Linked DNA regions of Saccharomyces cerevisiae S288C. The protein of the gene in region 1 interacts with the protein of each later gene in a pairwise test. Each region holds a gene or a part of one and is shown on either strand. Other genes may lie near its edges. The genes, in order: MRX16 and YJL218W.

Region 1 (17,341 bases):
ACTGATCAAGCTATGGCAAAAACCTGATCATTCTAACGAAAAATGTCATTAGAGAAGCAATATGCATCGTGCGAAATGAGCAGTCTTGAAATCGCACGGACAGCAACCCATGACATCAAGAGATGACTATTACGACAATAAAGCCGGTTAACTAACTTATAAATGTATCTGTACATACCCTTTATGAAGAGAGTATAGTAAATCCTCTTTACTGGATTGGATTCAAATGCAAAACCAATTATACGAGTAAACTGCACCCATTTATTGCTTACCATCCCATGAAATCTTCGGATGTACACAGTATTGGAATGGGAACGTAACATGTAAACTCTTCACCTTCTAAATTCTCTTTTGAATGGAATAGGATGCCCTTTTTATCCTCATAAAATTGATCCAAAGTGATACTTTCTGTCTTTGCAATTATTACAAATTTTAGTCCTATCATCCACTTATGTTGAAAAACATCTGTCTTGAATTGTCCGGTAATCTGGTTTGTAGGCGATCTTGGAGGAAGTAATTTCACCGATACGGACTTGCACTCATCGAAACAAATAAAATGTTTCTCATACACCGAGTTTCCTTTTGGTTTGCTCCCTATTCCTTTTCCTTCAGTCTTATATTTTGGATTTATAATTTCAAACGATTCTAAGGATACAGTCAACGAAGTCACTTTAAGTAAAGGCGTCGTTATCGGATCTAATTCAATGACTAAATTTATATCATCAGTTGTCTTATAAAAAGGTGCTGATAAGGATACTTTTGCCATAGTCTCATTATTTCTGTTAATTTGATATGCGTTCTGTAAATTAATTAGCTGAGGTAGAAGATTAGAATTCTCATCTGACTTAACGAGAGAACAATCGTTCCACATCTTTTGCTCGAGGTTAGAAATGTTATCGCGTACCGAATAACTTTTTCTCCTCTTAGTTACAGCATCGCTTCTCAGGCTAGACTCTGCAGACGTCACCATTTCGTTCGAAAAGTGTGAGTCGTTGGGTTCAGGATCCGAAGAATCCTCATCCTTTCCGAACTGTACCCCCATTTGCAAGTCAATAAGTTCGTCTATATCTCTTGACACATTTTGGTTAGATTCCACCAGTTCAATGAAGTTTTTTTTGACACGCTTGACAAATTCATTATCTTCTAATGGAGAATCAATGTCAATTATAGAAGATTTTCTCCTACCAAATGATACAGCAGAAGCCGTAGAAACTTTTCGAGTAAACAAACGTGGCTTTAGTTCCTTTATGTTACCTGTCTTTAATATGATAGCAGGCTTATCCAGACGTGATGTGTACTGTTCGGCATTCGAACTAATATATGGTGCTATTGTTATTGGGACTCTATTTGAAAATTTCTCGATATTATCATCAGAAAGTACATCCGCACCAACCTCCAGCGTGTAATTTATTGATGCCACTTTTGACGATGAATAACTTGGGCATATATCTTTTGGCAGCTTTGTGGATTTAAAATAGAATGTTCTTACTTCACCTGGTTCTAAAGAAATTTCAGAAAATAAAAGCGTCTGTGGTATTAAAAGAAGAGGTAATGTTTTTATACTGGTATCGTTTGATATCATTAAGGTCCGTTCGTTATAGGTACCTGTTCTTCCCCTAGAACCGCTTTCTGAGAAAAGAAGACCATTGGTCACATTTGTATAATCTGAGTTGAGGTAGTTGGTTAAATTTCTTTTACCTTTGAAATGTTCTCCATCTTCCAATGCAAGAACAGAATTTGTCGTATGTCCAGGTACAATATCTAGTCCTACCATTTTTACTTCATCTTGTTTAAATTTTGACTCTGAAATTACCTCTGAATCGTATTGAAAGACCCCCGATATTTGAACATAACCGGATATTAACGTTACAGGTTGATGAAAATACATTTGCTTCTGTATTTTTTCTCTTAACATCTTACTCTCATTTAGCATTTTCATGTTATCCACATCCACACTCTCTTCAGGTTCGCCTGTTCTTTTGAAGGCACCTAGTAATGATTTTAGGGACCAGGTTTGATTTTCCATCGTGCCTTCACCATCATCTTGCACTTTCGCTTGTTGTTCCAACTTCTCTTCAACAGCTTTATCGACAGTGAGAAGCTTTTCTTTATAGTTGAACAATTCATGCTGTGAGCCTAGGTGCTTAAATCGGAAAGCAATTGATATATGTTCTCCACCAAAATAGGAATTCGATTCATGTATGATCTCCAGTTTGATGTTTTCTCTTATGAGAAATGTATCGATTCTGTGCGCACGCATATCTTCTTCTAAAGTATGAAAAATATCACAATCAAAATCAACAGCTCAAGAAATTATGGGCTAGCTTTCGCTGTTTGTTTCGACTGGCAGCCTTTGCATTGCCCCGTAGGTATCAAAGCTTCTTTGAAGCTGAATTGATCTTGAAAAATAGCACTTTGGAGACGCGCCTTACGCTTTATAGGAGACTTCGGAGTAGACTTCGATTAAAAAATAAAAATTACACAAGAAGTTCAAGTATTATGTTTAATATTCAAACAACGTTTCCACCTCATGGAGAAATGAAGACTTTTATCGTTCTCCGTGAGGTGGATTTACTGTTATTGTCGTTAGAGTTCATGAATGTTTCTCTTGCGCGAGCAGATCTACTGGTCAGGAATCTACATTACTTTGCAATCCATAGTACGCTTGTTATGCTGCATCAATACGAATATATATATCTAATGCTAACATCTGGTTTCTGTAGATATCTTGGCGTGTGTTTCTTTATGATAATACAAAAATATGTAACTCCTGGTGTGATGCTTGGGCGGTGGAAGGTTACGGCTTAGTAATTACGAAATTGATGAAAAAAGTTAGCAGCTGCTATAAAAGGTGCGATAACCTCTTGTGATCATCTGCTATGTGGAAGCTGGTTTACAACCTACAATTTTTCAATTAACAGTTTGAGAATAAATTAGGGGTATCGTACTACCGTAAAGAACAAGAAAATGGCTGGTAATCTTGTTTCATGGGCCTGCAAGCTCTGTAGATCTCCTGAAGGGTTTGGACCTATATCCTTTTACGGTGACTTTACTCAATGCTTCATCGACGGTGTGATCCTAAATCTATCAGCAATTTTCATGATAACCTTCGGTATCAGAGATTTAGTTAACCTTTGCAAGAAAAAACACTCTGGCATCAAATATAGGCGGAATTGGATTATTGTCTCTAGGATGGCACTAGTTCTGTTGGAGATAGCGTTTGTTTCACTTGCGTCTTTAAATATTTCTAAAGAAGAAGCGGAAAACTTTACCATTGTAAGTCAATATGCTTCTACAATGTTATCTTTATTTGTTGCTTTAGCCTTACACTGGATAGAATACGATAGATCAGTTGTAGCCAATACGGTACTTTTATTCTATTGGCTTTTTGAAACATTCGGTAATTTTGCTAAACTAATAAATATTCTAATTAGACACACCTACGAAGGCATTTGGTATTCCGGACAAACGGGTTTCATACTAACGTTATTCCAAGTAATAACATGTGCCAGTATCCTGTTACTTGAAGCTCTTCCAAAGAAGCCGCTAATGCCACATCAACACATACATCAAACTTTAACAAGAAGAAAACCAAATCCATACGATAGCGCAAACATATTTTCCAGGATTACCTTCTCTTGGATGTCAGGTTTGATGAAAACTGGCTATGAAAAATACTTAGTGGAAGCAGATTTATATAAATTACCGAGGAACTTTAGTAGTGAAGAACTCTCTCAAAAATTGGAGAAAAACTGGGAAAATGAGTTGAAGCAAAAATCAAATCCTTCATTATCATGGGCTATATGCAGAACTTTTGGATCTAAAATGCTTTTAGCCGCATTCTTTAAAGCAATTCATGATGTTCTAGCATTTACTCAACCACAACTACTAAGGATTTTAATCAAGTTCGTCACAGACTATAACAGTGAGAGACAGGATGACCATTCTTCTCTTCAAGGGTTTGAAAATAACCACCCACAAAAATTACCCATTGTAAGAGGGTTTTTGATTGCGTTTGCTATGTTTCTGGTGGGCTTTACTCAGACATCTGTCCTGCATCAATATTTCCTGAATGTCTTCAACACAGGCATGTATATTAAGAGCGCCCTAACGGCTTTAATATATCAAAAATCCTTAGTGCTATCTAATGAGGCTTCTGGACTTTCCTCTACCGGTGACATTGTCAATCTCATGAGTGTGGATGTTCAAAAATTACAAGATTTAACACAATGGCTAAATTTAATATGGTCAGGGCCTTTTCAAATCATTATTTGCTTATATTCTCTGTATAAGTTGTTGGGAAATTCCATGTGGGTTGGCGTGATTATACTAGTTATTATGATGCCATTGAACTCATTTTTGATGAGGATACAAAAGAAGTTGCAAAAATCCCAGATGAAGTACAAAGATGAAAGGACCCGTGTTATAAGTGAAATACTAAACAATATTAAATCTTTGAAGTTATATGCATGGGAGAAGCCTTATAGGGAAAAGCTAGAAGAAGTAAGAAATAACAAAGAGTTAAAAAATCTTACAAAACTAGGATGTTATATGGCTGTGACAAGTTTTCAGTTCAATATAGTACCATTCCTTGTTTCATGTTGTACCTTTGCTGTATTTGTTTATACTGAGGATAGAGCATTGACTACTGACTTAGTTTTCCCTGCTTTGACTCTGTTCAACCTGCTCTCATTCCCACTAATGATTATTCCTATGGTTTTAAATTCTTTTATCGAAGCTTCTGTTTCTATTGGTAGATTATTTACATTCTTTACCAATGAAGAGCTACAACCAGATTCGGTTCAGCGTTTACCAAAAGTAAAAAATATTGGCGATGTAGCCATTAACATTGGAGATGATGCTACCTTTTTATGGCAACGGAAACCGGAATACAAAGTAGCCTTAAAGAATATTAATTTCCAAGCTAAAAAAGGAAATTTGACCTGTATTGTTGGTAAAGTTGGCAGTGGTAAAACAGCTCTATTGTCATGCATGTTAGGTGATCTATTCAGGGTTAAAGGTTTCGCCACCGTTCATGGTTCTGTTGCTTATGTTTCACAAGTTCCATGGATAATGAATGGTACTGTAAAGGAAAACATTTTATTTGGGCATAGATACGACGCGGAATTTTACGAAAAAACGATCAAGGCCTGTGCGTTAACTATTGATCTTGCAATTTTGATGGATGGAGATAAGACATTAGTTGGCGAGAAAGGGATCTCCTTATCTGGAGGACAAAAAGCTCGTTTGTCTTTAGCAAGAGCAGTTTATGCGAGAGCTGACACTTATTTACTTGATGATCCTTTGGCAGCTGTTGATGAACACGTTGCCAGGCACTTGATCGAACATGTGTTGGGTCCAAATGGTTTATTACATACAAAAACGAAGGTATTAGCCACTAATAAGGTGAGCGCGTTATCCATCGCAGATTCTATTGCATTATTAGATAATGGAGAAATCACACAGCAGGGTACATATGATGAGATTACGAAGGACGCTGATTCGCCATTATGGAAATTGCTCAACAACTATGGTAAAAAAAATAACGGTAAGTCGAATGAATTCGGTGACTCCTCTGAAAGCTCAGTTCGAGAAAGTAGTATACCTGTAGAAGGAGAGCTGGAACAACTGCAGAAATTAAATGATTTGGATTTTGGCAACTCTGACGCCATAAGTTTAAGGAGGGCCAGTGATGCAACTTTGGGAAGCATCGATTTTGGTGACGATGAAAATATTGCTAAAAGAGAGCATCGTGAACAGGGAAAAGTAAAGTGGAACATTTACCTAGAGTACGCTAAAGCTTGCAACCCGAAAAGCGTTTGTGTATTCATATTGTTTATTGTTATATCGATGTTCCTCTCTGTTATGGGTAACGTTTGGTTGAAACATTGGTCTGAAGTTAATAGCCGCTATGGATCTAATCCAAATGCCGCGCGTTACTTGGCCATTTATTTTGCACTTGGTATTGGTTCAGCACTGGCAACATTAATCCAGACAATCGTTCTCTGGGTTTTTTGTACCATTCATGCCTCCAAATATTTACACAACTTGATGACAAACTCTGTGTTGAGAGCCCCAATGACGTTTTTTGAAACAACACCAATCGGTAGAATTCTAAACAGATTCTCAAATGACATATACAAAGTGGATGCTTTATTAGGAAGAACATTTTCTCAGTTTTTCGTCAATGCAGTGAAAGTCACATTCACTATTACGGTTATCTGTGCGACGACATGGCAATTTATCTTCATTATCATTCCACTAAGTGTGTTTTACATCTACTACCAGCAGTATTACCTGAGAACATCAAGGGAGTTGCGTCGTTTAGACTCTATTACTAGGTCTCCAATCTACTCTCATTTCCAAGAGACTTTGGGTGGCCTTGCAACGGTTAGAGGTTATTCTCAACAGAAAAGGTTTTCCCACATTAATCAATGCCGCATTGATAATAACATGAGTGCGTTCTATCCCTCTATCAATGCTAACCGTTGGCTAGCATATAGGTTGGAACTTATTGGTTCAATTATCATTCTAGGTGCTGCAACTTTATCCGTTTTTAGACTAAAACAAGGCACATTAACGGCAGGTATGGTGGGTTTATCATTAAGCTATGCTTTACAAATCACTCAAACGTTAAATTGGATTGTTAGAATGACTGTGGAAGTTGAAACGAATATTGTTTCAGTGGAAAGAATAAAGGAATATGCTGATTTGAAGAGCGAGGCACCTTTAATAGTTGAAGGCCACAGACCACCCAAAGAATGGCCGAGCCAGGGTGATATAAAGTTTAATAATTATTCCACTCGTTATAGGCCGGAGCTTGATCTTGTTCTGAAGCACATTAATATACACATTAAACCAAATGAAAAAGTTGGTATCGTGGGTAGAACGGGTGCGGGAAAATCCTCATTAACGCTAGCATTATTCAGGATGATTGAGGCTAGCGAGGGAAACATCGTAATCGACAACATTGCCATCAACGAGATTGGGTTATATGATTTGAGACATAAATTGTCAATCATACCTCAGGATTCTCAAGTTTTTGAGGGCACTGTTCGTGAGAACATTGATCCCATTAACCAATACACTGATGAAGCTATTTGGAGGGCATTGGAACTTTCTCATTTGAAAGAACACGTGCTATCAATGAGCAATGACGGATTAGATGCCCAACTAACCGAAGGTGGTGGCAACTTAAGTGTTGGACAAAGACAATTATTATGTCTTGCAAGAGCAATGTTGGTTCCATCAAAGATTTTGGTGCTTGATGAAGCCACGGCCGCAGTCGACGTGGAGACAGATAAAGTCGTCCAAGAGACGATTCGTACTGCTTTCAAGGACAGAACTATCTTGACCATCGCGCATAGACTGAACACGATAATGGACAGTGATAGAATCATAGTGTTGGACAATGGTAAAGTAGCCGAGTTTGACTCTCCGGGCCAGTTATTAAGTGATAACAAATCATTGTTCTATTCACTGTGCATGGAGGCTGGTTTGGTCAATGAAAATTAAACTGTGAAACTAATAAAAACCTGTCCCGCACAATCTGGTACGTAGGATGGATAAAATAAATAAGTAAATAAGAAAAGTACTTTAATTTTCAACGAGATACTGGCTGCATAGCTTGCCTAGAAAGGAGACGTCACGTCACTTAGGCAAGAAAAAAGGAACACTTTTCATAATATTCATCATAATATCAGAGATCGGCCAGCAATAAAAAGATATAATGAAGGCAACGATGATAATGGCTTACCTCCTCACCACATACCCCTTACAGAAAAAAACCAACATTTCTCCGGAGAACAGGTGCAAGGATAATCCACATGCCGAAAATACGATCGACACTGATTCCTTTTCTGGTATCGTAAGGGGAACCTTATGCGGGGTAATGCACTTATCAGGAAATTCCGCAGCTTACCTTCGGAGAAGGGGCAAACCTTAATAACGGAAATGCAATTAGAATAGCAGCAAGGTGAGAAAAATAATATGAAGATGCCCTTCGCATTGCCGTTAATTTTACGTAGCTCATTCTGTCACCCTAATTCCAGAAATTCCCCTTATCTGTTTTTCGATTGAATTAGGCACTCTGGTGTCATAACAAATAAGGATTGTGGGAGAAAAAGTTTCATCCTAAAACCTAAAGTATGCTAATTTTATTAACTGCACGTTTTCTCCTCACTCATCCAAGGCTATAGGCATAGGAAACCGGCTCAAACTTCCTATTCAGTTGTCCTTGAAGGAGACTTACTTTTTGTTTGTTTTTTTATTTTTATTTTTATTATATTTTTTTTTTTCATTTGTTGGGGTCAACTCACACTGGTTCTCCGCCATATTGCCTTTCTGTCAAGCATTGAAACGTGCAACATGAATATTTTTGGCAGCCATTTCAAAACAATAGCATGGTGCGAACTGCTCCAACATGAATAACCGTGCTTCGACGCGGTGTTTTCTCTTGCCGGACTGCCCATGCGTTTCAGTGCGGAGAAAGTCATCCGTTTTGAAGTGCTGCTACAACACGATCGCTCAAAAAGGAAGGAGTTTTCCTATTTCGAATTGATGGCTGGGTTTGAGCTGCAGGACACGCTGCAGTGGGGAAGCCCTTTTAAATCCGCGAGTCCGGTCCGTGCTCACTTTTAGACGCGTGTTCCATCGGCGTTCGGATGGTTTCCAGTGAGAAAAGGGGCTACGCGTATGGTCGGTAGTCCCTTTCAGGGACCAGTGCAGAGGGTGAATCAACGGCCCCTTCACAGAAACCGCGCAGGAATTTTTCTGGTGTTTGTTATTTTTTTTTCCTTGTACTTATCTCACTTTTCTTTTTCTAACTATTTTTTTTGCAATTTTTTTGTGTACACTTTCCACAACATATAGGATGGTTTAGTCATCTCTCGAAGTATATAAACCGTTGCTGGATCGTGGTTGTTCTTCATCGACTTCTCTCTGCTAGACTCTCTTTTTTAAAATTTTTTCATAGAATAAAAAACCAAGGATAACAAACATCTTCTTTCGTTCGCTTCAAAATAACTACAAATTAAAAATGCAATTCTCTACCGTCGCTTCTATCGCTGCTATTGCCGCTGTTGCCTCCGCCGCTTCTAACATTACCACTGCTACTGTCACAGAAGAATCTACCACTTTGGTCACTATCACTTCTTGTGAGGACCACGTTTGTTCTGAAACAGTTTCCCCAGCTTTGGTTTCCACTGCTACCGTCACCGTAAATGACGTTATCACTTAATACACCACCTGGTGTCCATTGCCAACCACTGAAGCACCAAAGAATACCACTTCTCCAGCTCCAACTGAAAAGCCAACCGAAAAGCCAACTGAAAAGCCAACCCAACAAGGTTCTAGCACTCAAACTGTTACCTCCTACACTGGTGCCGCTGTTAAGGCTTTGCCAGCTGCCGGTGCTTTGTTGGCTGGTGCTGCCGCTTTATTGTTGTAATTTACTCAACCTTTTCTTTAATATATTTTTAGAAAAATGGTTAAGTACTTTTCCGTCAATACAGCTTCCACAAAATCGTTTTATTTCAATTAATAAGATATTCTGGTAATTTCTTATTCTAATTCTAGGAGGCAACACTCCATAACTAAATGTTTATTATAATAATATTAATATAAAGTTAATATCTCTTAGGTTACACGCAACTAAACTTTTTTTATATATACTGGTTGCATTGTATTTTTATCATATATCTTAATATAGGTTGTTTAAGGTTCGTTAATTCAAAAATAATGTTTTTTTGTTTGCCCAGTCGGTTTACGCTAATCAAGAACATGGATTCAATATCTTACATAATAAGCGGACGATGAGTCTATCTCGGTTTCCTCTTTTCTGAAATATAATAGTTTTATATTAGTGATTCATTATTACGATCTGGCCGGCTTATCATTGCTTCTTTTACAAACGTATCCTTTTAAGATTTTATCCGGACCACTGAGCTGGCATTTTTCTTAGCTTGCTTTTGTCTTTGTTGCACGGGCGACTGAACTTCTTGGAAAATCATGTAAGCCGCAATTGCTTACTAAGTCAAAATTCTAATGGATTCTCCTCTCGAATAAAATTGAATAGTCTGAGCAGTGAAAAAAATGTATATCTTATGTGTGAATGTTATATACCATAATCTAACGAAAGATAGCGAATTAAAGACCGGTCTGTGGCACTCGTAAATATTACCAACAAAGAAAGTTCCCAATATAATCATATAGAAAATGTCAAATTCTCCAACAGTAGCAACTTTGTCACAAGAATATTTCGATCCGAATATTCCTCAAATACTCCCACACGAGAAAATGTATAAGATTCAGGTGGGGAAATCATTATTCAAAATCAGCGGTGCTTCTTTAAGCTCGGATGGTCCTAGTTTCTTCACCGAATATTTTTCTAAGAAGCGCTCTCCTTCCAATAACGATGACAGTAATAACGATACCATGGAATCTAATAAAAATGAGGTTCTATTCATAGACAGATCAGCCGAAGTTTTTGAATGGATCTATCAACATTTGCAAGGATATATAATTGAGATTAAGGATGAAGTACAATATACCATGCTTTTCGCAGATGCGATGTACTACAATTTACCGCGATTGCGATCTTTACTGAAAGAAACGGACTATTATTTTACCAACATTGGTGGACAATCATTCAAGATAGCGAAAAATTTATTTAGAAGAGAAGGAGATTCCCCAAATTATTTCGAAATATATGCGGCTACAGTTTATATCGATGTGGAAGAGCTGATAATATCTAAAAAACTATTAAGGCCTCCATCTCATTCTGCTCCTTACATTCCAAGATCTTCTGAGTACTTCAAAGATTTGCTGACGTTACTGGGAGGAGCATCCATCGATCTAGATGATAATAAAAGAAATGCCTTGATAAAAGAGTGCCGTTATTACAGGCTTTTAAATCTCGAACAGCGGCTAATCAAATCTCATATTAGCTATAACCCAATAACAAGGAAAGAAGAGATTTGCCTCCTATTGAAGGATTTGTCAAAAAAAGGCATCACTTTTCCAGCTTCTTCTGCATTTTCAACCTCGCCCTACTTTGAAGACGATTTCTGTAGCATAAATGAATGCGACTCGCTATCAAAAACCCGTGAACAGCCAGCAAATAAAAAGATTAAACTTGACATGACTGAAAAATATAACGATTCCTGGAATATGCTTTGTTATAAGAGACCTTTTTTAGATAAGCATCCGAGAGAGTTGATATTTCAAATAAATTCGACTGATTGTACGATAATCCTCAATAAGGAAAGCCAAAGTATCCATGTAGACATAACTGGAGAATCCGCCTATAAGTTTGAGGCCTTATTTGGAAGTCATTTGCCAAATACACCCTCTGGTGCGCCTAAGTTGAAAAATTACCAGTATCGGTTCCCATCCGATAGTACGCAGACGAAAATTGAAACTCATTATTTACTTCCAGCATGCATATATCTCTGTGATTTGGACATAAACGGCATTAAGATTTCTCAAGTTCAAACTTTGCTAACTGATAAAAATAAATTCAATGACAGGGTCATTGACGTGTCTGATCCACTTGACCTTAGATTTTGTTCTGGTTTAAAGCTTTACTTAAGAAAGTCTCTCTGGAAACTGGCCGTGAAAGATGGCAATATTATGCTGATAGCTATTAAAGCTATAGCATTTAACGGAACTAAGGAATACTACAAGGGATATGAATATCTGTAGGATTAGCTTGATAAAATTACTCTTCTGCCAAGCTTTTAAGTATATGTATGCTCTCCGTTGTATTTTTTATATGCCATTATAGTACTTGAAGTATAACGGAAACCCATTGTAACTCACATTCCTGTAGTAGCTTCTTTTCTTACTTTTTGTAGGCTCTTGTCTCTTTTCTCTTGTTATTTATCAGTTAATATGTAAGAAAAAAATCGACTTCGGGAATTAGGATACAGACACCTCTTAAAACCAGAGATAAAGTAACGTAGAGAAAATAGTAGGATAATGTGTGCAAAAAGAAGAAACTTTGGTGTCTTAAAATAGATAAAAATAACCCTACTGCCAATTTGAAAGGGCCCGAAAAATGTTTGATAAGTTACCTTATGAGATTTTTAAACAAATTGCCTGGAGAATTCCGCAGGAAGATAAAATTTCGTTAACATATGTATGCAAAAGATCCTATGAATCAATTATACCTTTCATCTACCAGAATTTATTTCTTAATGAAACCTATCACATCAATGGTGACTATGATAACTCATTTGGAACCTGTTATTGGTCTGTCCTAAACTTTCACTACATAGATGAAGATGATTCCAATACTAAAAACGACATGTCGAATAGAAGACTAGCTAAAGTGAAATTTAGTTATTTCGAAAGAACATTAGCAGAGTCACCGAAAAGATTATGTCCCTTAATTAATCGAATACGTTGTACATGGCATTTAAATGAAGATGTGATGACAAATGTACTTAAATTGCTATCCGAGTATGGATCCAATTTGAAATTTGTCGATCAATTTGTTCGCTCATCAGTTAACAAGGGGCTAGAACCTTTATCAAAGCAATTAAAAACTCTAACATTAACGCCACCAACGTTAATGCCCACCCATAACAGTGTAAGCGGTTCTTATTTGAATAAAATTGATCGGTTGCTCTTGAAGTGCGATCTATCTCGATTAGAAAAACTTTCCATTCATATAAACGCATTGAAGTACTTCAAAAATACCGGGTCTCCTATGAAGATCAAAGCATTGGTATTAAATTTGCGACCCGACACACTTAACCTTGCGGAGTACGACGCTTCCGATGACTTCTTAAAAGAGCTAGAATACATCGACATATTTGATGCTTCCACCTTAAGGCAGCTAGAGATTTTGTCTTGGTACAGTCGCGACGATTTTCCCTCTGGCGAAGAAGGTGGTTTTGACAGGTTATATGTCAAATGGGGGCTAGAAGGATTTTGGAAATTTCCGAACATTGAGAAACTATCATTAGCGTCATTGGTTTACAGCGAATTTTTTCTAATGAATTGTTTGGCTGTGTTTCACAATTTAAAGATACTGAAACTTGATTACATGGGTAAATTTGACTTCGATGTGTCGTTGATTAACTTCTTATCTAAACAAGTGTGTGGCAAAAAATTACAGCGTTTTGACATACACTGCCAACTAAATCACAGGCTTTTTTTTCCCATGACAGATAACCCACTAACTCGCTTGAATTTCGATGGTTTCTGCCCTTGTTCAACTTGCAAAAATACAATTCACGAGGTCATTCTAAAAAAAATCTTTCCTGAAACCCGGTCAAAACTTTTAAAGAACCCAAATAAGTTCCAAGCCCATAATTTCTTTTACCAAATGTTTTTCGAGAACAAGATCATGCCCTATACAAACATTATTGACAACGAATCACCTGCGATGGGATGGGATTCTGTACCTATTGAAACGTTTGTACGAAAGTTCAATGAAAATCTGCAAAGCACCATAGAAAATACTGAGAATATTACAGTGAATAAAATTACTAGAGAAGATGCCATTAGTTTGTACCACTTATACCTTCATTATCTAAAAGACGTATTTAAAGTTTTTGAGCAAAGTTTGCCGAACTTAGAATATCTAACCATCAACGGTATACCTACAAAAATAATACAAGTGGACGAGTTACAACGATGCGCGGTTCCCCTCTTCTATAATAATGGCTATAAAAGCAACTCTGTTTATGAATTGGTGGACGCAGAAGCTCTATTTAGTTGATACTGTGAGACATGGCGGTTATAACACGTACATAATGATATATACTCTAAATACTGCAAATTGTCAACAAGAGGAAATCAAAACAAATGGATTGTATAGTCTAGTTAGAGCTTTCTCAGTGTTCTCACTGGATTGCAGTGATGTGACATAGTTCAATAAAACAAATTATGAGCAATAAAAGCAACCGCAGGAGTTTACGTGACATAGGGAATACGATTGGTCGAAATAATATACCAAGTGACAAGGACAATGTCTTTGTGAGATTGAGTATGTCCCCTTTGAGGACGACAAGCCAAAAAGAGTTTTTGAAACCACCTATGAGGATATCACCTAACAAGACAGATGGAATGAAGCATAGTATACAAGTAACACCAAGAAGGATTATGTCGCCGGAATGTCTGAAGGGCTATGTCTCTAAGGAAACTCAAAGCCTGGATAGGCCTCAGTTCAAAAATTCGAATAAAAATGTGAAGATCCAAAACTCAGATCATATAACTAATATAATATTCCCTACATCACCAACCAAACTGACATTCAGTAATGAAAATAAAATCGGGGGTGATGGTTCGTTAACGAGAATACGGGCCCGGTTTAAGAATGGACTCATGTCACCTGAAAGGATACAGCAGCAACAGCAGCAACATATTCTCCCATCGGATGCCAAAAGCAACACTGACCTCTGTTCTAATACTGAGCTCAAGGACGCCCCATTTGAGAATGACCTTCCTCGAGCTAAATTGAAAGGGAAGAATTTATTAGTTGAACTCAAGAAAGAAGAGGAAGACGTGGGAAATGGCATAGAATCCCTTACTAAATCGAACACTAAACTGAATTCCATGCTGGCGAACGAAGGTAAGATACACAAAGCTAGTTTCCAGAAAAGTGTAAAATTTAAACTACCTGATAATATAGTGACTGAAGAAACCGTGGAACTTAAAGAAATAAAGGACTTGCTACTACAAATGTTGAGAAGACAGCGAGAGATTGAATCAAGATTATCCAATATCGAACTTCAACTCACGGAAATACCGAAACATAAGTAATCATATCCCTTCTCACATTTTTTACACAGGAAGTAAGCAAGTTATGTTATATTTCCGACACTATAATTAATTCTTAGCAGTTAAAGGTGCTTTGTCTATATTACATTTACATACAGCTTGAGTGATCCTGACCGGATATAGGGTCCTATTTTCTTACGTGAACGGCTTTTCTTCTTGTTCCCGATGGCCTTCATGTGAAAAAGCACTCCTCGGGAGGCGGAAAAATATCAAAAGTACGGGGCGAAGTTTATAATGAAGATTTATCGATATAAATTTTGGTTATTTCAGGAGAACAAGAAAGCTCTTTACACTAAAATTATCAGAGAAGAAGCTGATATATTAGCCCTAAGGAGTACACCAAAACACAATGAATATTGTCAAATTACAAGTATGTATGCCTTTCTCGAATTCCCACACTGCTGAGCACAGTGAAAAAGTTTTTTCTACCTTTTAGGTTGTAATAAACGTTTCATATACTAACAAACTCTTCTGCGATTAGAGAAAATTTCCAATTTTGACTCAAGAGGATCTTTTTTCCACAATTGAAAAGTTCAGAGCCATTGACTTAGATGATAAAGGATGGGTTGAAAAACAGCAAGCTCTAGAAGCGGTGTCCAAAGATGGTGATGCTACTTATGACGAAGCAAGAGAAACCCTGAAGCATGTGGGTGTGGATGCGTCAGGCCGTGTTGAACTGGACGATTACGTCGGGTTGGTTGCAAAATTAAGAGAATCTAAAACAGGAGCTGCTCCACAGACCACTTTCAACGTAGCACCTAACTCAACCCCTATTGTTTCCACTGCTGCCACAGGACTACAGCACAAGGGTAAGGGTACTCAAGCCAAGATTATTGTTGCTGGCTCCCAAACAGGTACTACACATACCATCAATGAAGAAGAAAGACGTGAATTTACTAAACATATCAATAGCGTCTTGGCGGGAGACCAAGATATAGGTGATTTGCTTCCATTTCCTACTGATACTTTCCAATTATTTGATGAATGTAGGGATGGGTTGGTGCTATCTAAGTTGATCAACGACTCTGTTCCTGATACTATCGATACAAGAGTTTTGAATTGGCCTAAGAAGGGTAAGGAATTGAATAATTTTCAGGCTAGTGAAAATGCTAATATTGTTATTAATTCTGCAAAAGCCATTGGTTGTGTCGTTGTTAATGTTCATTCCGAGGACATTATTGAAGGTAGAGAGCATTTGATCCTGGGTTTGATTTGGCAAATTATTAGGAGAGGTTTGTTAAGTAAAATTGATATTAAGCTGCATCCTGAGTTATACCGTCTATTGGAGGATGATGAAACGTTGGAGCAATTTTTGAGGTTGCCTCCGGAGCAAATTCTACTACGTTGGTTTAACTACCATTTGAAGCAAGCAAACTGGAACAGAAGGGTTACCAATTTTTCAAAAGACGTGTCTGATGGTGAAAACTATACTATCTTGTTGAACCAGTTGGACCCCGCCTTGTGTTCTAAGGCACCATTACAAACCACAGATTTAATGGAGAGAGCTGAGCAAGTTTTACAAAATGCTGAAAAGCTAGATTGTAGAAAGTATTTAACCCCAAGTTCATTAGTTGCGGGGAACCCTAAATTAAACCTGGCTTTCGTGGCACATCTATTCAATACACATCCTGGATTAGAGCCTATTCAGGAAGAGGAAAAGCCTGAAATTGAAGAATTTGACGCCGAAGGTGAGAGAGAGGCAAGAGTCTTTACCTTATGGTTGAACTCTCTTGACGTTGATCCACCTGTCATTTCGCTGTTTGATGATTTGAAGGATGGTTTGATATTATTGCAAGCTTACGAAAAGGTGATGCCCGGTGCTGTTGATTTTAAACATGTCAACAAAAGACCGGCCTCGGGTGCAGAGATATCCAGATTCAAAGCCTTAGAAAACACCAACTATGCAGTCGACTTGGGCAGAGCCAAAGGATTTTCTTTGGTTGGTATCGAAGGATCTGATATTGTAGATGGTAACAAATTACTGACCTTAGGGTTAGTGTGGCAATTGATGCGTAGAAATATTTCGATAACCATGAAGACATTATCCTCAAGTGGTAGAGACATGAGTGATTCTCAAATATTAAAGTGGGCCCAAGACCAGGTAACTAAAGGTGGTAAAAACTCTACCATTAGATCATTTAAGGACCAAGCTTTATCAAACGCCCACTTCTTATTGGATGTTCTGAATGGTATCGCGCCGGGCTATGTTGATTATGATCTAGTCACCCCTGGTAACACCGAGGAAGAAAGGTACGCAAACGCAAGATTGGCTATTTCTATTGCTAGAAAGTTGGGTGCTTTGATTTGGTTGGTGCCAGAAGATATCAACGAAGTTCGTGCAAGATTAATTATTACTTTTATCGCTTCGTTAATGACTTTGAACAAATGAGCCAACAAACAACTTTCGTAACCTGTTTTCTACTCAGCTTTCTTGTTCCAATGCTCCGTTATACGATTGGTTAAGTGTACAACAATATATAGCCTCAAGTATTTCTGAAGTTTTTAATATGTAATAATAGATTTCAACTTCCACCTACTTTTATTCGTGATT
Region 2 (16,620 bases), on another chromosome or scaffold:
TGAATTCGTTAGAGATGCGAAGGGTGACTGTATACCAGATTATAATCTGATTGCCCTTTCCGATATATGTGACAAATCGAAGGGTAAATCTGTGTTAGTAAAGCCACTACAATTAATCAAAGGTGATAAATGTAAAACACCTATGAAAATTGAATCCGTAGACATTCCGTGTGACGAAATTCCAAAGGAGGGTTCGAGTGACAAGGAAATAGTGACTACTGAAAACAAATTCGACTTTGAAATTAAATTTTACCAATACTTCGATACAGTTGCCGACGAATCTTTGGTCATGCTGAATTCGATAGGAGACGCCTATATATCCCACGATGGTGGACAAACGATAAAAAGGTTTGACACTGACGGCGAAAAAATTGTCGAAATCGTGTTTAACCCATACTTCAATTCTTCAGCATATTTGTTTGGCTCTAAAGGTAACATATTCTTAACACACGATAGAGGATACTCTTTCATGATAGCTAAATTACCTGAAGCCAGGCAATTAGGCATGCCACTAGATTTTAGTGCTAAAGCACAGGATACTTTTATTTACTATGGTGGTAAGAATTGTGAATCAATTTTAAGTCCAGAATGTCATGCAGTGGCATACCTCACCAAAGATGGGGGTGAAACTTTTACAGAAATGCTTGATAATGCAATTCATTGTGAGTTTGCAGGAACACTATTCAAATATCCGTCAAATGACGATATGGTTATGTGCCAAGTAAAGGAAAAGTTTTCGCAAACAAGAAGTTTAGTTTCTTCTACTGACTTTTTCCAAGATGATAGAAAAACTGTCTTTGAAAACATTATCGGCTACTTGTCTACTGGTGGCTATATCATTGTTGCCGTACCTCATGAAGACAATGAATTGAGGGCGTATGTAACTAATGATGGTGCTGAGTTTACCGAGGCAAAATTCCCATATGATGAAGATATTGGTAAGCAAGACGCATTCACTATTTTAGGATCTGAGGAAGGATCAATATTTTTACATTTAGCAACAAACTTGGAATCAGGACACGATTTCGGAAACCTTTTGAAATCCAACTCGAATGGTACTTCTTTTGTCACCTTAGAGCATGCCGTTAATAGAAACACATTCGGTTATGTGGACTTTGAAAAAGTTCAAGGTCTTGAAGGTATTATTATCACCAACATCGTTTCGAATAGCGAAAAGGTTGGCGAGAACAAGGAAGACGAACAATTGAAGACGAAAATCACCTTCAATGACGGTTCAGATTGGAACTTTTTGAAGCCTCCAAAGAAGGATTCGGAAGGGAAAAAGTTTCCCTGTGATTCTGTGTCATTAGATAAATGTTCTCTACATTTGCATGGTTACACTGAACGTAAGGATATCAGGGATACATATTCCTCTGGCTCCGCGTTAGGAATGATGTTTGGTGTCGGAAATGTTGGCGATAGGCTTCTACCATATGAGGAGTGTTCCACTTTTCTAACCACTGATGGAGGAGAGACGTGGACTGAGGTTAAAAAAGGCCCCCATCAATGGGAGTACGGTGATCATGGTGGAGTCTTGGTTTTGGTCCCCGAAAACGCAGAAACTGATTCTATTTCTTACTCCACCGATTTTGGTAAAACATGGAAAGATTATAAATTCTGTGGCGACAAAGTCCTCGTAAAGGATATAATCACCGTTCCCAGAGATTCTGCTTTGAGGTTTTTGCTATTTGGAGAAGCAAAAAACATGGGTAGTGGTTCATTCAGAACGTATACAATTGATTTTAGAAACATCTTCGAGAGGCAATGTGAGTTTGATATTACCGGTAGAAAAAGGGCAGATTTTAAGTACTCTCCTCTGGGTTCCAGAACTGGTTGTTTGTTTGGCCATAAAACAGAATTTTTACGTAAAACCGATGAAAAATGTTTTATTGGGAATATTCCACTTTCTGAATTTTCGAGGAACGTCAAAAACTGTCCATGTACAAGACAAGATTTCGAATGTGACTATAATTTTTATAAAGCCAGTGATGGTACTTGTAAATTAGTCAAAGGCTTAAGTTCGGCGAATGGTGCCGATATCTGCAAAAAGGAACCCGACTTAATTGAATACTATGATTCCTCCGGCTATCGGAAAATTCCCTTATCAACCTGTAAAGGTGGGCTGAAATTGGATGCACATTTAGCACCACATCCTTGTCCGGGAAAAGAAAAGGCATTCAGGGAAAAATACTCTATAAACACCGGCGCTTATGCGCTGGTTTTTGTTACAATTCTTCTCGTTATTTTCTTTGTCGCATGGTTTGTATACGATAGAGGTATCAGGAGAAATGGGGGATTTTCAAGATTTGAAGAAATCAGATTAGGAGACGATGGGCTGATAGAAAACAATAGGACCGATAGAGTTGTCAACATCATTGTAAGACTAGGATTATGCATTTCTTTAATCACCAAGTCTGCGTTTCAACGCGCGAAGGCAGGTACAGCGCAACTTTCTTCAAAATTTAGGGCAAGGTTTGGCAACAAAAAAGGTGCCACTTACTCTTCGCTGCTTCATGATCAGCTTTCAGATGAACCAGATGGCTTCCATGAAGATTCCAACGATTTATCCAGTTTCAGAGGTCAAGGTAGTAATTCTGAAATTGAGCAAGAAGATGTTGACACATCTCAACAAGAGCATACGTCGCGGACAGACCTACTTGGTGCTAGCAATATTCCAGACGCTTTGCCAGCGCGTAGTGCTTCTCACGAGTCCGATTTAGCAGCTGCACGCAGCGAAGACAAGTAGGTAGGTCTTTTTAAACGAACGAAATTGTTCACGCATTGTATGTTGGGTTTCTTACATATCAATCACTCAGAAGCCCATTTTCTACCTCCATCACCGTACTTATAGAATTATTTTTCTTTCTTGACACAATATACTGTGGCTAGTTTAACATTTCGTGCCCTTTAAATATTTTTCATGGTGTGGACAGAACAACGTCAATTGTAAGGAGCATGGAGGTCAAATAAACAATACCTCAAACTAAATAATGAAGACCCCAAGAAGCCTTGCAATCGGCAGTAATTATATTCATGGTACTAATTGTCACTATTCGTCTACACTCTAGTAAAAGTTCTTGATGCAAATTTTTTTATTTTTATGTATGAGAACTGCCGAAAAAAAAGGTTTGGATATTAACTTTGTTAAATAAAATAATACAATCAATTCAAACTTTTTACTGTTTCTTTTTTCAGCTAACTATATCATACTATTGTACACAATTATTAATTACCACTTACATTAACTGTTATTCGCTACGCTTTAGAATATCACATACCCAATATCGCATTACCACATGTATGTCGTTACTATTTAAAGTGCGGTATGTAACATAGATAAATATAAGTATATGTATATGTATAAAAATCTTGTCGTCACAATCATTAATCATTCAGATATGTAAATTCTGCCCTCCCATGGCTTCAATGTTCTGGAAGACGCATCAACTTCACTTCTTGGGTAGTTTCCGAATTCCAACTTAAACGATGAGCTATTGTTTGGAATCGTGAAGTCGATCGAATCAGAGCTGAAGTTCAAAGCAGCAAACAATGTTTTGTTGTCGTATTTCTTTGTGAAGCTGAACAGTTTCTTATTGTCCAAATCAATAAACTCAAAATCATATCCATACACAGTAATATCCTTGTGTGCCTTTCTAAATCTCAAGGCCTCCTTCCAGAAGTTCAAAACCGAGTTGGGGTCCTTGGATTCGTCTTCAGCGTTAATTCCTTCCCTGAAAGACTCGTTCAAGTAAAACCATGGTTTAGCATTAGGACCAGAAAAACCAGCATTTGGCTCCTCACGAGACCATTGCATAGGTGTTCTAGCATGGTCTCTGGAAATAAGGGCAATTGCTTCCAAAAACCTCTTCATCTCCTTCGAGTTTTCTCCATGCTCTTCCTTGATCGCATCATAGTTATTTCTAACTTCGACATCCTCGTATTTTTCGATAGGCCAGTTCTTGAAATTGATTTCACCCAGTTCCTGTCCTTGGTACACATATAGAGTACCGCTCAGTGACACCAACAACACAGACAACAACTTACCAGAAATAACACGGTTTTTGGGAGAATCGTCACCAAATCTGGTAATTGAACGAGGTTGGTCGTGATTTTCCAGATAAATTGTTGACCAACAATCAGTTCCGTTAACGTATCTGAAAAGTTCAGCAAGGGCAACCTTCCAATCCTTTAGTTCATATGGTATCAAATTTTGACGGAACTTGGGCGAAGTCCCGACATCAGTGTGGGAAAAGTTGAATAACTCACTAAGTTCGTGTCTTGACGCACTTGTATACAACCTCTTGGTCTCATCAGTAGCATGTCGCATTTCACCAACTGTCATAATTTCTCTGCCATCCTTCACTCTGTTTCTGATGAACTTGTTCATTTCTTGATGAAACTCATGGATACGTGGTCCGTTCATTGTGAAAGGATCACTGAGTTGCCACTTTGAGTTTTCGTCAATCACAGGAGCGTCTGGTAGACCAGCAACCTTGGAGTACAAGCTTCCCACATCAATTCTAAAGCCGTCTACACCATGGTCTAACCAGTATCCAACGGCACTTTCGTAGATTGCCTTTCTGCAGTCTTCGTTCTCCCAGTTTAGATCAGGTTGGGTGGAGCAAAACAAACGCAAGTAAAACTCTTGTGTCTTTTCATCGAACGTCCATGCAGAACCACCGAAGTAAGACCTCCAATTGTTTGGAGGAATTGGCTTGCCTTCGGCGTCATAACCCTTAGGAGGTCTCCAGAAGAACCAGTCACGTTTTGGATTGGTTTTTGAGGATCTGCTCTCTTTGAACCATTCATGTTCGCTGGAGCAATGGTTGATGACTAAGTCGGTGATAAATTTCATACCAAGCTTATGTGTCTTTTCGATCAAGGCAAAGCAGTCCTCGTTCGTACCGTAGGTTGGCCAGACCTTTTCGTAGTTGGCAATATCGTAACCCATATCATCTTGTGGCGAGTCGTAAAATGGCGAGATCCAAATGGCATCGGTACCAAGCTCTTTGATGTACTCCAACTTGGAGGCAATACCCTTCATATCACCCCAACCATCGTTGTTGGAGTCTTTGAAACTTGCGGGATAAATTTGATAAATTGTGGCCTCTTTCCACCACTTGGGTTCTGTTTCTGGATGTGCAGAAGAAATAGTCATTGTACGTTGCTTTCTTATCTCTATGAAAAAACTTTCACTTTTGTTTGTGTGTTTGGATTGGTGAATGGAACATATATTCTAGTACAGCTAATTCCTCGAGTGAAGAAGTCTTCCTTACTTATATATGTCTGTGGACGTCTTACGAATGATCGAAAATAAGAAAAGAACAAAGTAAATTTAGGATCTGGAAGGAGTGCTGTATGTAAACGAAGCTTTCAGTTTTAGGTAATGTTTGCACAACCTACATGATATAAGATGGTATGTTCTGCAACAGCGTGCCTGTCACTTGGCCCGTTATAGCAGATTATACCATCTGCAAGCAGACCCCATTATTGCATTGCCTCCGCAGCCTTGCGTATACATAGCCCTAAGACAAAATACGGAGCGTAAACAACCCTCGATCCCCGCAACAATTACATAACCATTTCTCCGCGGAATTACATAATCATTTCTCCGGGAAAATTACATAATCATTTCTCCGTGCGAGTTATAAGTGCTTTTCTCGTGCATTTCCCTGACACTTCACAAAACCTTCTTTTTCTTTTTTCTTTATTTCAGGGGAAATCAGTGCAAAACTAAAAAGAAAGAAATTTTGTGAAATGTAAACTCCAGGTGTCAAAAAATAAATTATATCCGTGGAAAATCAGGCGTCGGAAATTGTAGATGAATCCGCCTCCTCCACAATAAAAATGCTGACCACACGAGCAATGCATACACTCGGACACCTTCGTTCAAAGTATCAGTAGCAGTTCGACACACCCTATACTACTTAGCTCTTAAGGTCTAGGCTCATCTTTCTCAGTTCCTCTTTTTCGCTAAATAAAGGTATATAATGTCACAGCTGTGTAACTAAAGAACACTGTTGTTCCTATCTTTTTCTTCTTCTTTTTTTGGTATGAGTTGGAAAAAATAATCATTGCACAATTGAGTACTAAAAGCTTTCGTATCTTACCCAATATCATGTCCGGTGTTAATAATACATCCGCAAATGATTTATCCACTACCGAGTCTAACTCTAACTCAGTAGCAAATGCACCATCTGTAAAAACTGAGCATAATGACTCTAAAAACTCCCTCAACCTGGATGCCACTGAACCACCTATTGACTTACCTCAAAAACCCCTCTCTGCATATACCACCGTCGCAATCCTGTGTTTGATGATTGCATTTGGCGGCTTCATCTTTGGTTGGGATACCGGTACCATTTCTGGTTTTGTTAACCTTTCTGATTTCATCAGAAGGTTCGGTCAAAAAAATGACAAGGGAACCTACTACTTATCGAAAGTAAGAATGGGTTTGATCGTCTCAATATTCAACATTGGCTGCGCCATAGGCGGAATTGTCTTGTCAAAAGTCGGTGATATATATGGTCGTCGTATTGGATTGATTACAGTTACTGCCATTTACGTTGTAGGCATCCTAATCCAAATAACTTCCATAAACAAGTGGTACCAATACTTCATTGGAAGAATTATTTCTGGCCTAGGAGTGGGAGGCATTGCTGTCCTTTCCCCAATGTTGATATCTGAAGTTGCTCCCAAACAAATCAGAGGAACCCTGGTCCAATTGTACCAGCTGATGTGTACGATGGGTATTTTTCTAGGATACTGTACCAATTACGGTACCAAGAACTATCACAACGCCACTCAATGGAGAGTCGGCCTTGGTCTTTGCTTTGCCTGGACTACATTCATGGTTAGTGGAATGATGTTTGTACCAGAATCACCACGTTACCTGATTGAGGTTGGTAAAGATGAGGAAGCGAAACGTTCACTTTCGAAATCCAACAAAGTCTCAGTCGACGATCCAGCCTTGTTAGCAGAATATGACACTATAAAGGCGGGAATCGAACTTGAAAAGCTGGCAGGTAACGCATCATGGTCTGAACTACTCTCCACTAAAACAAAGGTCTTTCAGCGTGTTCTCATGGGAGTGATGATCCAATCGCTGCAGCAATTAACCGGTGATAACTACTTCTTTTACTACGGCACCACCATCTTCAAATCTGTCGGTCTAAAGGACTCCTTTCAGACTTCGATCATTATCGGTGTGGTTAATTTTTTCTCTTCATTCATAGCGGTATACACCATTGAGAGGTTTGGACGCCGTACGTGTCTATTGTGGGGTGCTGCTTCTATGCTATGCTGCTTTGCTGTGTTTGCCTCCGTCGGTGTGACAAAGTTGTGGCCTCAAGGAAGCAGTCACCAAGACATTACTTCTCAGGGCGCCGGTAACTGTATGATTGTGTTTACTATGTTCTTCATTTTTTCGTTCGCCACCACTTGGGCAGGCGGCTGTTACGTTATTGTCTCAGAGACGTTTCCTCTTAGGGTCAAATCAAGAGGAATGGCAATCGCAACAGCTGCAAACTGGATGTGGGGTTTCCTGATTAGTTTCTTTACCCCATTCATTACCGGGGCAATCAACTTTTACTACGGTTATGTATTCTTAGGCTGTCTGGTTTTTGCATACTTTTATGTCTTTTTCTTTGTCCCAGAAACAAAAGGCCTGACGCTGGAGGAGGTGAATACTATGTGGCTGGAAGGTGTGCCAGCATGGAAATCAGCCTCATGGGTGCCACCAGAAAGAAGAACCGCAGATTACGATGCTGACGCCATAGACCATGACGATAGACCAATCTACAAGAGGTTCTTTTCCAGCTAATCTTCCGGTTTTTAGTAACTGGAAAAAAATACATGAACTTAATTATTTATTATATACAATATTTACTTTTTTACGCCTTAATCCTTAACGGACTATTTGTTATGCCTTATAGAACTAGAAATTATATGATAAACATGAGCTACACGAGTTGACAGGGTGAACAGATTACTATAGCATCTTTCTCTCATGAATAATTTTTAAAATGTATAAATTTTGTAACGTTCCGAAGGGTGGAGTGAAATTCCATTCAAGAAACCAAGCATTGAGACAGAACAGTACAGAGTTCAGTTGTTGCGGACCGAGAATTGTAACAAGTAGCCCCAGAAACATTCATATGACGTCTGTTTCAAATTAAGCTTAGTAAAAGTACACATTTACCATAAAAAAATAGTACCAAGTCGGTGGCCTGATATCCTTATTTTCCTTCTGCCAATTGGGCAAGTTGGTACTAATATTTTAGGTGACACTGCCACTTTATTGTTATGGATTGAAATTTCTTAAATGTTCTCACAATCGGCCATAACGCTATTTCTCCGACGTAACCTCCTGTCATAGTGTGCCGTGCCTGAATAACTTAAAAAATTAAAGTTTTCAATGTGCCCAAAAAAATTCACAAATAGTACGCGCTCGTTAAACACCCTGTGACGCTGGGCCAGGCACTATTTAGCATTACTTCGAAAAGACGCAAGTATAAAGAGTGAGATCTCACGTACTACAACAAGAACATAGAGAAGCATTCTAATAAGCATATAAACAAGGCTTCTAGAGAAAAATGGGCGTATTAGAAAATATAGTACCTGGTGAGCTTTATGATGCGAACTATGATCCAGATCTTTTGAAAATTAGAAAAGAGACTAAAATAAAATTGCACGAATACAACACCCTTAGCCCCGCTGATGAGAATAAAAAGAGCCAGGTAATAAGAGAATTACTTGGTAGTTGCACTGATAACTTTATAATTGAACCGCCGTTTTACTGTGATTACGGAAGTAACATCTATATCGGAGACAACTTTTACGCCAATCACAATCTTGTTATATTGGATGGGGCCAAGGTAGTCATCGGTGACAACGTATTTATCGCCCCTAATGTTGGTATTTATACGGCAGGTCATCCAATTGACGTGGAAAGACGGCTTCAAGGATTAGAATATGCCATGCCTGTGACCATTGGAGACAATGTATGGATTGGAGGTGGAGTGTCAATAATTCCTGGAGTAAATATAGGTAAAAACTCCGTGATTGCCGCCGGTAGTGTTGTGATTCGTGACATACCAGAAAATGTAGTGGCAGCAGGTAATCCTTGTAAGGTGATAAGAAAGATCACTGAAAAAGATAGTACAACTACAAACTATCGAAAATGATGGATCCACTTTCTGGAGGAATTATCGAAAGCAAGTGTTGTCTTCTATGATTATGTACCGTATTTTCTTATAAGAATAAATAAAAAGCTAGTTCAGTTTTAGTCGACTAAATACGCAGAGAGATTATTAATTATTGGTATATGTTCTGGTTTAAGTTGCTCATTCTCAACTCGACTGTGTATAGTAGCTTCTTTCTGGTATAATCTATCTTCGAGGAGAAAATTATAGTTTACAACTTATGTAAAACTGCTCAAGTTCCAACCGTATAGAAAACGCGTGGCTGGTAGCTTTATGTTCGGATTTGAGAAATTTTCGGGGAAATAAGTACCGTTCTAATTTTTCAGCGCAAATTAACATGCGGAGAAACTTTAAACTGAAAATATGGCCACCTGCATGCGTCCATATGAAAGGGTCATCAAATAGCCTCGAACAAAACAAGTAACATTTTCGATGGAGTTAGAAAGGGATGATCCTATACGCACAGATTTCCTAGGTATTTAACCTGACCTAATATTAACAAAAGTCCAAGTGACGGCTTCTCCATCAAACAAGATAAATTACCAAACACAATGGTCGAATCTAAGAATACTGAATTATCGCAAGGAACATGGCTCAATAAGCCAAAATCTGTTTTTCAAGAGGCAGGAAAAGTCACTCTGGAAACAGATGAAAAAACTGACTTTTGGCGTGAAACATTTTACGGATTTACCCGTGATAGCGGTCATTTTTTGGGAGTAGAGACAGGTAGTGCTTTTACTGCACAAGTCCGTGTTCAGGGAAGCTACGAGAGTCTTTATGATCAGGCTGGTATCATGGTTCGTATAGATGATGGACATTGGCTCAAAGCTGGCATAGAAATTTCTGATGGCCACGCAATGCTAAGCAGTGTTTTGACAAATGGAAAATCAGATTGGTCAACTGCTGTTTATGGCGGAAATGCTCGCGATTTCTGGCTTCGTGTTACTGTTGAAAAGGGCGTTTTGAGGATTCAGGTGTCCTCTGATAAAAAAACATGGCCGTTAGTACGTTTGGCTCCATTTCCAACTTCTGACCATTACCTTGTTGGACCAATGGCTTGCACACCTGAGCGTGGCGGATTGAAAGTTACTTTCTCGGAATGGAGTCTCACAGCTCCTTTAGGAAAAGCTTTACATGATTTGAGTTAGTTCACCTATATATCAATATATAAAGAGGGGTTTGCTTTTGTTAAGAACAAGGCCTGCACCTCACTAAGATCTGTTGATTTGGCACTATGCTTTTTAAAATTTTGTTTATACTCAATTTCGTCAAGATTTTTTTTACTAGTACAATCCATACAGTTAACAAAATACTGGGCAATAAGGCGTGCATACTACGAAATTTTTAGTTTTGTTATAATAAACGACTTTTAGCTAGTGTTTTAAGATAAAGTGACGAAAGTTAGGGTGAGAATAGTCGAATGTATTTACTAATTATTGAATTCGTGGTAATTAGTACTTATGATGATGGGGTTTAAAGGGCTAAATTTAGACAATAGAAACAGTAATAATGATGTTTTCTATTTTTCTGCTGTACGTTGCTTTTTATTTTATATTTCTTCGGAAAAAGGTTCAGTGAATTTTCTGTCTTCTATATACATATATAAATTGCAATTGAAAATAGCGTACAGCGTAAGTTAAGTATCCAATGCTCACATATGAAAAGCAAAAGTAAAAAGAAATATACAAGTTTATTATTCATAAATATCGGCATAACTATTTGTTTCGAAAGATCAGTACGTTTATGTTAAATGTGCTCGTTACTTCAACAAGTAAAGTCTTCCTTCCCATGGCTGCAAGGTGCGGGAATCACCATTTGAGTTTGCATAGTTGCCAAAAAACATGGTGTAGGAGGCCTCATTATCAGGAACTGAAAAGTCCGTATTATCGCTACTGAAATTGAAAACAGCAAACATTTTTTTGTTATCTGTGTCCTTTGTAAACATGAATAGCTTGTCATTATCAAGATCAATGAACTGAAAGTTATGTCCATAAACAAGGATATCTTTGTGCTCCTTTCTAACTTGTAAGGCCTTTTTCCAGAAAAAGAAGACTGAGTTTTTATCTTTTAACTCAGCTTCTGCGTTGATTCCGTCTCTAAATGATTCATTCATGTCAATCCATGGTTTGGCATCCTTCGAGAAACCTGCAGAAGGCTCATCAGCACTCCATGGGAATGGTGTTCTCCCATGATCTCTAGAGATCAAAGCTAATGCTTCAAAAAACTTTTTCATCTTTTCAGAATCTTCACCATAATCACGTTTAATGGCGGCATATGTACCAGTACCTTCAACGCATTTGATTTGCTCAATTTTTCTGTTTTTGAAGTTGGGCATACCCAATTCTTGTCCTTGGTAGATAAAAACAGTACCAGTCAATGAAATGATGAGAGTAGCCAACATCTTGGACGAAATCTCACGCCATTTAGGAGAATCTGAGCCAAAACGCGAAACGCTACGAGGTTGATCATGATTCTCCAAATAGATGGTCGACCAGCAATCTGTGTTTTCGATAAACAGAAAGCTTTCAGCAAGAGCCAGCTTAAAGTCTTTTAAAGTAAAGGGAATAAGTTCGTACTTGCATTTTGGGTTTTCACCTACTGAGGTGTGCTTGAAGTTGAACATCATATTTAGTTCTCCTTCTTTGGCACTGGTATAAACTCTGAAGTCGTCTTCATTCCCGATACCAACTTCTCCAACAGTCATGATTTCTTTACCCTCTGGAACTTGCGAGAGCATGTAGTTATGCATTTCTTTATGATACTCATGGATACGTGGCCCATTTATGAAAAATTCAGTTCCTTTTTGGTAAGGAACTGTAGGATCAGTGATAGGAGCATCGGGTAGGCCCTCAACCTTAGAATACATGCTGCCTACGTCAATACGAAAGCCATCAACGTTGTGACGTAGCCAATAGCCCACTGAGGAGTCATAAATGGCTTTACGGCACTCTTCATTTTCCCAATTGAAATCAGGTTGGCCAAGAGCAAACACATGCAGAAAGAACTCACCAGTTTTTTCGTCATATCTCCAAGCAGATCCACCAAAGAAAGATCTCCAATTGTTGGGAGGAATTGGATTACCTTTCTCATCGTAACCCTTTGGAGGTCTCCAGAAAAACCAGTCACGCTTTGGATTAGCCTTAGAAGATCTACTCTCCTTGAACCATTCATGCTCTTCAGAACAGTGGTTGATAACCAGGTCAACAATAACCTTGATACCTCTCTTATGAGCTTCTTCTATCATTTGGAAACAATCCTCATTGGTACCGTAACGTGGCCAAACCTTCTCATAGTTGGCAATATCGTAACCCATATCTTCTTGAGGAGAGTCATAAAATGGGCACACCCATATCGCATCGACACCTAATTCTTTGACATAGTCAAGTTTGGAGGTAATCCCAGCTAAATCACCCCATCCGTCATTGTTGGAGTCCTTGAAACTAGCAGGATAAATTTGGTAGACGGTGGCTTCTTTCCACCATTTAGGATTATGGATGATCGTCATGTTTTTCTTTTCAATATTGAGCACTTTCTATATAGTCATCAAGAAACAGTAGTTTTTCGCACCAAGATATGTGAACAAGTGTCCTAATTTATAATTCGTCAGACGTTTATGAACTTACTCCTCAAAACCGTATCAATTACCGTAGCGGTAATGGAAGATACAATTCTTAAGTGTGAATTACTTTTTCCGGTGAATTAGCTTCTAGGATTGTGACTATTTCAATGGACAATGTTGCAAATAGTTTCAAATATTCCCGTGTTTCTCCGAGGATTCTCCACGGAGGAAAAATAATGCAAAGTTTATTTCCCCGTTTTCTTTTCTCCGTCTAGGCATTTACGCTTTCACGCAACTTTATTATATCACCTCCGCGGGGATTCAACAACGAGGTATGTGGAGAAGGAGAGAAATTCCAGAGAAAGCAGCCTAGAGCATCCTGCTGCAGCAACTTATAAACGTATCTCACAGAAAAGGCCGGAGAAAGTTCTTGAAATGTGTAATTTAGCCTACCTGCCAAGCGGCTGGAATTATCCCGAGAATAATTCCGCGACCGGGCCTGTTCCTGAACTCTAAGAAGTTTTGGAATTTCCGAACGCTTCTTCGCATGAAAGACATGAACTCTTAAGTAAAATAATATGAACTGGCATGGTCGTAATCTTTTGGACGACGGAATATCATCGCTAACCATTGTAAGGGATGAAGCTTGACTAGATATATTTAAACGACCATTTTTGTTTCATTCTTATTTTAGATTGCATTTTTTATAAGTCACTTTTAGTTAGCTCAGAACGCCAGCAAAAACCATGACTGATCGTAAAACCAACTTGCCAGAAGAACCGATTTTCGAAGAGGCAGAAGATGATGGCTGCCCTTCGATAGAAAATTCTTCACATCTGTCAGTACCTACAGTGGAGGAAAACAAGGACTTTTCCGAGTATAATGGGGAAGAGGCAGAGGAAGTTGTTGTTCCAGAAAAGCCTGCTTCAGCCTATGCTACTGTTTCTATCATGTGTTTATGTATGGCTTTCGGTGGATTTATGTCCGGTTGGGACACAGGTACGATTTCTGGTTTCGTCAATCAGACTGATTTTTTAAGAAGATTTGGTAATTATAGCCATTCCAAGAACACTTACTACTTATCTAATGTGAGAACTGGGTTGATTGTGTCCATCTTCAATGTGGGAAGCGCCATTGGCTGTCTTTTCTTGTCTAAATTGGGTGATATTTACGGCCGCTGCATGGGTTTGATTATAGTTATTGTCGTTTATATGGTTGGTATTGTCATTCAAATTGCCTCTATAGATAAGTGGTATCAGTATTTTATTGGAAGAATTATCGCTGGTATAGGTGCTGGTTCCATTAGTGTTCTTGCCCCGATGCTTATTTCGGAAACTGCGCCAAAGCATATCAGAGGTACGTTGCTAGCTTGTTGGCAATTGATGGTGACTTTCGCAATTTTCTTGGGTTATTGTACCAATTATGGTACCAAGACTTACTCGAATTCTGTCCAGTGGCGTGTTCCGCTTGGTCTATGTTTTGCATGGGCTATTATTATGATTGGTGGTATGACGTTTGTTCCGGAATCTCCTCGGTTTTTGGTGCAAGTCGGTAAGATTGAGCAAGCTAAAGCTTCTTTTGCCAAGTCGAACAAGCTTAGTGTTGACGATCCTGCTGTGGTTGCAGAGATTGATCTTCTTGTTGCTGGTGTGGAGGCAGAAGAAGCAATGGGAACTGCTTCATGGAAGGAATTATTTTCGAGAAAGACTAAAGTTTTTCAACGTTTAACGATGACAGTCATGATTAACTCTCTGCAGCAACTAACCGGTGACAACTATTTCTTCTACTACGGTACTACTATCTTCAAATCTGTCGGTATGAATGACTCTTTTGAGACTTCAATTGTCTTGGGTATTGTGAATTTTGCTTCTTGCTTCTTTTCACTTTATTCTGTTGATAAGTTGGGCCGTCGTAGATGTCTTTTACTTGGAGCAGCCACCATGACGGCGTGCATGGTTATTTACGCCTCCGTTGGCGTCACAAGACTATATCCGAACGGTAAAAGTGAACCATCATCTAAAGGTGCTGGTAATTGTACGATTGTTTTCACGTGTTTTTACATTTTCTGCTTTTCCTGCACCTGGGGACCTGTATGTTATGTGATTATTTCTGAAACATTTCCATTAAGGGTGAGATCCAAGTGTATGTCCGTTGCAACAGCGGCCAACTTATTGTGGGGGTTCCTAATCGGGTTTTTCACTCCTTTTATTACTTCGGCAATTAATTTCTACTACGGTTACGTTTTCATGGGTTGCTTAGCGTTTTCATATTTTTACGTCTTTTTCTTTGTTCCAGAAACAAAAGGTCTAACTTTAGAAGAAGTTGATGAGATGTGGATGGACGGTGTATTACCTTGGAAATCTGAATCCTGGGTACCAGCTTCTAGAAGGGATGGTGATTATGATAACGAAAAATTACAGCATGACGAGAAACCCTTCTACAAAAGAATGTTTTAGACCGGTGAAAACACACGCAAGCAAACTTCAAAGTACATTGATAAATAATGTCCAATGCCCTCTGTAATATAGGGGCTTTTTAATTCCTAAGACTGATTCGATATATTAAACACCAGGGCTACTGAAGACTGACAGTCACGTTGAGTCCTATTATATCATTTTACTCACAGAAGATTTGGTAATATGATACTTAGATGGGCTTAACAACAAAGTGTTTTCTTGATGTTACTGCCCATGAAAAAAAGCAAATCAAATTAGTAGGCGGATTGTTAACTTTGTTTATTTTGAAACCCGTCAGGACTACCAAAATATAACAAAGTATTGATTATCGTCAACGCTTTATAGATCACTTTTTTTTTTTTTTGAGGAACCGATTAATTAATACATCGTAGCCTCTGCTTATTGCATAACACAACAAAAAAATACAATAATACGCAACTTTTGTTTATAGAAAAATAAAAATGGAACATATGATATTCTCTGTTCGTCATATGATAACTTAAGCACTTTCGTGTGTACATAGGTATTCTAGTGCATTGGAATGAGATCAATTATGATTTCCTAACCCAGAATTTATATTACTAATGATTTCAGAATTAATAAAAGCTGAAATAAAAGGAGTAGCAATGTAATAGGAAATAAACGAGGGCACATAGAAAGGAAGAAGAAAAATTACATTATGTGGAATTATTGATTCCCTTGGCAATTTCCCATAGTCTCATGAAAATTCCTGGCCTATTCTGTATTCATAATTCCATACTCTTTTTTAACAATGAAACTCCGGTAATTACCACAATATTTACTTATATCTCAATACGAACGCATGTTCTCTTCGAGGAAGACCAGCATTAGCGCTAAGCGCTAAGCGATGAGTTGACTTAATTTTTAAAAGGACGATGTTGGCGCGTTAGTGCATAAGAAAGTCAGCAAATCCCTTTAAGCTGAAAACCTTGATATATTTCTCGGCCTTTAATAATGGCGCAACTGATTTTAATTATCTTTGAATGGCTTATCTGTAACGAACATGTGTTACTAAACTAGTAGTAAGTTAGAAATACTGTTTATCCAGAATATGTAAGTTGGTGCTTCTAAAGTAATATAAGACCGCTTTAATTTGTTGTAACCTCTGAAATACAGGTAACCGCTGGGTCATCTCCTATCTAACTTTTGGTAAAAATGACATCGAAAAGAACAATTTTCGAAATATTCAATTTGTTCGGGTGTCGGTTTAATGCTCAAGGCCCCAATATTTCATAATAGGATTCTAAGAATTGCAGAAAATTCAGCTATGTTTCACCCATTTTGTTATTGGTGAAAACCGCCAAATCGATATCGATATAGTCACATTTTAGAGCGTGCCGATAGTCTCTAAACTTACACGAACGTCATTATTTGTAAGTAG

Evidence for each region.
Region 2: the proteins of MRX16 (region 1) and YJL218W interact in a two-hybrid assay, tested with the Saccharomyces cerevisiae proteins (2 studies listed by BioGRID).

What each region holds. Positions count from the first base shown.
Region 1 is NC_001136.10:713,178-730,518, reverse strand, and holds MRX16 (Mrx16p), read left to right. Parts: upstream 1-10,215; coding exon 10,216-11,703; downstream 11,704-17,341. Other genes in the region: RGP1 (Rgp1p), read right to left, coding at 269-2,260; ATP-binding cassette glutathione S-conjugate transporter YCF1, read left to right, coding at 2,968-7,515; YDR131C (uncharacterized protein), read left to right, coding at 12,059-13,729; FIN1 (Fin1p), read left to right, coding at 13,897-14,772; SAC6 (fimbrin), read left to right, coding at 15,140-15,160, 15,272-17,179.
Region 2 is NC_001142.9:13,379-29,998, forward strand, and holds YJL218W (acetyltransferase), read left to right. Parts: upstream 1-8,594; coding exon 8,595-9,185; downstream 9,186-16,620. Other genes in the region: VTH2 (signal sequence-binding protein), read left to right, coding at 1-2,746; oligo-1,6-glucosidase IMA4, read right to left, coding at 3,389-5,158; hexose transporter HXT9, read left to right, coding at 6,119-7,822; REE1 (Ree1p), read left to right, coding at 9,755-10,351; oligo-1,6-glucosidase IMA5, read right to left, coding at 10,963-12,708; hexose transporter HXT8, read left to right, coding at 13,509-15,218.